Linked DNA regions of Cricetulus griseus. The protein of the gene in region 1 purifies or fractionates together with the protein of each later gene. This does not show direct contact. Links are inferred from orthologs where the notes say so. Each region holds a gene or a part of one and is shown in the gene's direction. Other genes may lie near its edges.

The links.
Region 2: the proteins of Myo1e (region 1) and Ostf1 purify together in Homo sapiens (co-immunoprecipitation; 3 studies listed by BioGRID and IntAct, counting the BioPlex papers as one, with this or other methods). This does not show direct contact. The link is inferred for Cricetulus griseus from reciprocal best matches to the Homo sapiens genes MYO1E and OSTF1.

The regions. Positions count from the first base shown.
Region 1 is NC_048597.1:181,889,044-181,892,868, forward strand, and holds part of Myo1e (unconventional myosin-Ie), read left to right. Parts: intron 1-552; coding exon 553-639; intron 640-1,231; coding exon 1,232-1,399; intron 1,400-2,298; coding exon 2,299-2,384; intron 2,385-3,825. UniProt on the Homo sapiens protein: Actin-based motor molecule with ATPase activity. Unconventional myosins serve in intracellular movements. Their highly divergent tails bind to membranous compartments, which are then moved relative to actin filaments.
Region 2 is NC_048596.1:42,590,737-42,594,010, forward strand, and holds part of Ostf1 (osteoclast-stimulating factor 1), read left to right. Parts: intron 1-469; coding exon 470-548; intron 549-2,623; coding exon 2,624-2,722; intron 2,723-3,274.

The DNA.
Region 1 (3,825 bases):
AAGACAACTTATAAAAGAAAGCATTTAATTGTTCTTATAGTCCCAAAGGTTTAGAGTCCATGATGTTAAAGCGAAGGGATGGTGGCATGAACAACTGAGAGTTTGCATCTCAAACCACAGCAGAAGGCGGAGAGCACACTGGGAATTGCAGGAGTCTTTTGAAGCCTCAAAGTCCACCACCAGTGACACACCTCCTCCAATAAAGCCACACTTCCTAATCCTTCACAAACAGTTCCACCAACACCAGTCTGTTAGGGCCATTCCTATTCAAACCACCACATGGACTCAGGAGGATCAGGAGTTCAAGGTCATCCTTGGATATATAATGAGTTCAAGGCCAGCCTGGGACACATGAGATCCTGTCTCTAATGACAACAAGTAACAGTTGTATGGTATCAGTTTTTACTGCACAAACGAAACATAAAAACCATTAAGTTATGAGATGTTCTGTTCATATCACCTCTCGTGATGGAAAAGTTCTTAGTGTATGTGAGAGGGACGCAGGTTCTCTTTCATGGTGGTTTATGCAAGCTTCCAATTTCTGTCACCCAGGAAGAATACGTTCAGGAGGGAATAAGATGGACGCCCATTGAATACTTCAATAATAAAATTGTGTGTGACCTCATAGAGAGCAAAGTTGTAAGTACTAGCCCGTGGTTCCCCTCACTGGTCTACCCTTCAATGAGATTTCATCCTCTGTGCCTGGTGTCAATTGCTTTTCAGCTGACTAGGAAACTACCCTTGTACAGAATGTCAACAGTAACACTAGTAATGTGCAAATGTGCAGCAAGAAAATAAAATAATAGGCTTTTATTACCACAATAAATAAGGATGTGTATAACATGCCAACTTGCAAATGGAAGTTGTTCCTGAATTCTAGAAACTAGCTCTTGGTTATATGACATAGCAAATGGGGGGGGCATAAAAAGGGTCACACCTTAGCCCCATCATACACAGGAACATGAGTACACACATACACCAAACAAATAAATAAAGATAAAGCTCTCTAGAGAGCTAGCTAGCTTCTTGGAAATGAGTTTCCTTCATCTTTAGGTCTGAATGATAAAACCTTCTCTGGGAATGCTCAGTGCATCCTTCCTGGAAGGAACAGCTGATGATCAAGATGGTATCTGGGTCTTGGAGGCAGTCTCCTGGCTTAAGAAGTGACCCCATAGGTGTTCAGTATTTTGAGGGGTCAGTGACCTGGGCCTTGCCTTCTTGTTCCCACCAGCACCCTCCTGGAATCATGAGCATCCTGGATGACGTGTGTGCCACCATGCATGCTGTGGGTGAAGGTGCTGACCAGACACTGCTGCAGAAGCTCCAGATGCAGATCGGGAGCCATGAGCACTTCAACAGCTGGAACCAAGGCTTCATCATTCACCACTACGCCGGGAAGGTAAAGCCCGAGACCACAGTTCAGTGGGCCAGAATCCACCCATTTTAAAGGCTCTCCAGTTTGAGCCTTTAACGGTGGGATTTGTTTTCCTATGAACCAATAGAGACCCATGTTATTTATTCGTCCAACAAACAGGACCTTTAAAGAATTTGAAGAGTTAAAACAAAGCCCTGTCTACGGGGCTGCTTGCTTTTATAAAGCACAAATCTCCGTGGTGTGGATCGCAACTGCTGAAGCAATAGACTTTTGTCTTGACAGTTGCAATCACAAACTTGCATTCCTTTGCTTTCCCACGGGCACCGGGACTAACTTTAATGTTTTCCCTACAAAGTGAGTAACTAGGTGCCTGCAGGGTACACAACCATGTAAGGTCCTAACAGAATTTGGGGTCATGGCTCTCGGATGCTTCCTGGTCCTATGGAACTCCACAGATAAGATCTTTCCTCCCGGCTAGTCTCTTGTTCACCATGGTCCCTGAGCATCGAGTCCAGGGCAGATGGGCACAGCTCTGATGCGGCTTCTAAGAACGATTCACGACTCAGTTGACATACTTGATGAGTGAGAACGAGGGCTCTCTTTTTCTTCACATGGTCAGAACTTAGGAAAAATAACTTCATGTATTTCTCAGACATGCTTAGGGGGCCCACAGACAAATGGACATGGGTTCTTGAGAGCTGTAGTCTCACAGATCATCTGGGGAGCCAGATCTTCATCACCCACCATTAGGTCAGGGTCATCGAAGCCAGCTGACAGCTTTTATGTGACAACATAAGTGTGAAACCTCAAAGGCTGCAACTAGGAACGCCCACCTTCGATGAGGATAGCCGTGCCCACTTAAGGGTGCTTTTAACCAAAGAAATGTGTAGGATAAAAGTTGATTGCTTTCTGTTCTTGGCCAGGTTTCCTATGACATGGATGGCTTCTGTGAAAGGAACCGGGACGTGCTTTTCATGGACCTGATTGAGCTCATGCAGAGCAGTGAGCTGTAAGAAAGAACCCTTTATCTGCTTTATCTGGCATGCAGTATACTTGGGTTGTGGTTATTATTGTTTTGTTTTGAAGTGTATGGGTGTTTGTCTGCTTGTATATCTGTGTACCATGTATGCCTGGTACACACAGAAGACAGAAGAGGGCCTCAGATCCCCTGGAACTGGAGTTATAGATGGTCTGTGAGCTACCACGTGGGTGCTAGGAATTGAACCCAGGTCCTCCAGAAGAGCAGCCAATGCTCTTAACCTCTCCAGCCCCATGTCATCACAAACCAGTGATGGTATTGTTTCAACGTGCAAACCAGAGTGATGTTAGAGTGCTTAGCATCGGCTCCTTTAGAACTGTTGAGTCTGGTTTATAACTTGACTATTGTTTTCTCAAAAGGGCTTCTCTTCTTTCATCTTTGTCTCTCCCTTCTGTCATTATGTTTCCTTCCCCCAAGTGCCCTCCGTATGTCTGGCTTCAACACCGTTAGAAGGGTGAAGCAGCCATATTGGTGCTGGCCTGGAATAGCTATTTCTGATCAGCAAGAATAGAACAATCTACTTCTATGATACTTTGCCCTTGGGACAAAACCAAGAGGATTTTCCATGCTGGCTCCATTTTTAAAGGTGGCTAATTACCCTGAATCACTGAAACAATTGGAGACTAAGAAGTCTAGGAGGAACTTTCCCCTACTTTTCAGGGAGGGAACCCTGTGGCTTTGTTCTTGATTCCTATTGTAATGTAAAGGGAAACTCACTTAACATCTGGAGCCCTTGATGTCCTGCAAATGTTGGAAAAGGGAGTCCTCACATTCCTTGCCATAGGAACATTCTTAGGTGGCACCACTCTTGACCTATCTACAAAAGGGACAGAGATGGCATCTACTTCAAGAGCCTGAAGAGGACCTAGGAGAAGCTATTGCTGCCAGCTCAAGCCTTTGTTGTCACTGAGAATTCTGCTGAGATCAACATCACCTCTAGGAACACTGGCCAGTGAGCTGCACTGATGTTTGGCTGCCACTGGAGCCACTCCAGTTGCTGGTTGCTTCATGCCTGGAACATTCACAAATGAGATTCAAGCAACCTTCAGAGAGCAATGGCTTCTAATGGTGGCTTAACCCAGGAATGGCCTTCAGCCCCTCACAGAGGCATCTTATGTCAACCTGGCTACCATAGCTCTGTGTAACACAGATTCTGTTCTGTGCTTTGGGGACATTACCATCCTGTGCAACAATGGGGAACTCACCTAGTGGGTCTGATGTAGATGCTGACCTGTAAGGTCTCAGTATGTGTGGCACCATCTCCCACGGGTGCCCACTGGAGGTCATGCGTAAGCTCTGCTTCTGCAGAGTCCCTGGGAAGATGGAGAAGGTGCTTTCTGAAAAGGTTTTGACCAAGGGAGAATGGACTTTGCCAGCTCCTGAGTCAGTGGTCTGAAGGCGTGGAAGTGCC
Region 2 (3,274 bases), on another chromosome or scaffold:
ACAGTTCATCTTATAGGTTTTCATCTGACTGGCTCTTGTCACCTTCTCTCATACCATTGTGCATGAGCTGGGGAACTCGGGTAATTTCTCAGCAAGGTAATTCTACTGCTGTTAGTGGGACATCTGCCAGTGACTGGTCCAGGGGTTCCAATGATGTTGTGTTAATCCATTTGGCCACTCCTATTTCCTCTCCATGCCTCATTCTTGCCCAGTACCTCTAGGAATGTTCAGTTCCTGACTGTTGCTGGGTCTCCTCATTTCCTGTTGAGGCCTTGCTCTGCCATGTTAGTTTTCTTCCCCCATCCCTGCCAGAGCAGCTCTTCTCATTGCTTGTTCCTCTTTCCTTTGGAATGCCACATGGTTCTGGAGCTTTTCTCTCAATTTGATTTACATGGGTTAAACATACTACTGTCTTCATCCAGTCCACTTTGTATTTTTATAATACTATTTTCCCTTTCTTTCACCATAGAACAAGCTGGGAGACACAGCTCTGCATGCAGCTGCCTGGAAGGGTTATGCAGACATTGTGCAGTTGCTACTGGCAAAAGGTAAAGTTTTTATTGAATTTATTTGGTTGTTTGCCTTGAAAAATAGCTCCTAGTGAAGGAGGCCATTTGAAATAGTAGGAAGGCTGAGTCTCCTCCTCCTCTACTCCGTCTATAGTACACTGTTATAACTGAGATGAAATTATTGGGGGTGCATTTATGGTACTTTTTACTGTGAATTAAGACCTTGATAAACTTTAGCTCCAAAGCTATACAGAGAGCCCCTGTCTCAAAAAAACCAAAAAAAAAAAAAAAAGACCTGATAAACTTTAAAAGTACATACAAATGTATTAATTTTAGAAGGAACTTGCTGTGCATATCTGTAGGACTGAAGGATTTTAGGAGGCCGGGGTTTTTTAGGACATCGTGTCCTGGGAAAATTGGGATGAAGTTGGTGAGGCTTGTGCTTGCTTGGGAGAGCCTTAATAGAGAGTAGAAATGAATGCTAAGCTGAGCCAGTGCTGAGGTGTTAATGAAGGATGCTTTGATCCCATTGCTTGACCTCGATAGCTTGTGGCTGACTCTGCATCCTGAACTCTCAAGCAAACCTTATTAAATCATAAATAATATATCACCACAGTGTGGTTCAGAGCAAACAGCTAAATCTGGGACTGCTCATCCATTTATCTGCTTGTCCCATAAATATTAACTGCTCTTACAGAGGGCTGGCCAGGCATGTCACTCAGGGACTTGGCCCAGAGGGCAATTCTGTGAAGCCTTTCTCCAAGCCACAAGTTATAGATTCTATCTTTAGGAATCTTTGGGAGCAGTGTTGTGGAATTTATGAGCATGGATGTTTTTGGATTAAGTGAGATGATGATGCAAACCCCTTACTGTGGGGAGTTGCTGGGTTTTCCTAAAGGTCATGCCGAAGGCTATGCTGTCCATTGTGGCAGACACGAGCTGTGTGCTGCTGAGCCACTTAATGTTTTCTTTTCATTCTAGTGAACACTTTAAGTGAACCTGTGAACAAGTTGTTGGGGGAATAGTGCTCATTATACTGTTAGAAATGATGGAAATCAGAAAGAACTGATTCCTGTCAGTAAAGCTGGGATGAAATAAGTTTTACAACATCCACAAAATGCAATACCTATAAATGTTCAGATACGTTGAGTTTTGTGCGTACCTTAACAAGAACGAACCATTATTTAAATACGGTTAAGTTAAAAGTGAAGTTATAAGGCTGGTGAGATGGCTGAGCAGGGAAAGGTGCCTGCCACAAGCCTGGGGACTTGAATTCAGTTCCTGGGACCCATATGGTAGAAGGAGAACATCAACTCTGGGCTTCTATGTGTAGCATGATACAGGTGCCCACAGACATACATACAAAGGGAATGGAATTTAAAAAAATTACATTACACAGCAGCACAAGTAGGTTGCTTTGTGTACATGTTCATATGAGTGCAGATCATTGGCAAACATAAGAGAGACAGCTGGGGCCCACTGGAAGAATGGTCACCTTCGAAGAGCTTAGTTCAGGGGAATCCCATCAGCACTGTTGAGCACGCCTCTGTATTTTTTGTTCCTCAACAATGCAAACAAACATCTCCATGGATTCTGATGTAAGTTTTGGCATAAAGACAAGGGGGAAGATGAATGGAAGAGGGCTTACAGGGACAATGAATTGGGGAACAATGAATTGCCTATGAGTTTTTATTGTTTTGCCATTCTTCTGATTGACATATGAATGCACCTGCATATAAGAAATATTAGTCCCCTGACATTCAACCCAATAGTGTTTTCTACAGGCCCTCATGAACTGAAGGAGAGGCAAAGGGTGCTAGATGGAAGCCCCAAAGCTTTCTGCTAAGAGCTGCATAACCTTTCAGGCCATGGTTGTTTATGGCTGTGTTTTAGGATTTACCCAGGACCTGTAATGGCCTCATTGAAAAGTCCACGTGCAATCCCTGGGAGCTGGGAAGGGAAGGGCAGCTTTAATGGCACTGTGGCAGGCTCTCTGATGAAGTGTGCCAGTCACATTAATTCTTAGCCAGAATTGTTCTCTAGCTTTGACAAAGCATTGGCTAGCGCATTCCAGTCTTCGAAGATACATGGTTTCCTTTTCTTGTGTTGGGAAGGTGCGAGGACAGACTTGAGAAACAATGAGAAGAAGCTGGCCTTGGACATGGCCACCAATGCAGCCTGTGCATCACTCCTGAAAAAGAAACAGGCAACAGGTATTTGTTTTAAGTCACTCTCCTTGCTTATGACCGAGACTTGCCATCTTTCTATTGCAAAGGTTTTTGTTTGTTTGTTTGTTTTGCTTATTTGTTTTTAAGATTTATTTATGGTCTGGAAGGATGACACAGAGGTTAAGAGCATTGGCAGCTCTTCCAGAGGTCCTGAGTTCAATTGTTAGCAACCACATGGTAGCTCACAGCCATCTGTAATAGGATCTGATGCTGTCTTTTGGCGTGCAGCAAACATGAAGATACAATACCATATATATAAAGTAAACAAATCTTTAAAAAAAATCTAAAAAAACGATTTATGTATTTTATATGTGTCTTAGTTAGATTTTCTATTGCTGTGAAGAGACACCATGATCAAGGCAACTTTTATAAGCCCAGATAAATAAATAAATAAATTAATTAATAAATAAATTAATAAATAAATGCAGGCAAAGCTTTGATGGAAGGGACAATGAGAGAGGAAGGGAGGGGTGAGTGTTGGTTGTGTGTGGTGCACTTGTGGCAACGAGAGAACAACTTTCAGGAGTTGGTTCTCTC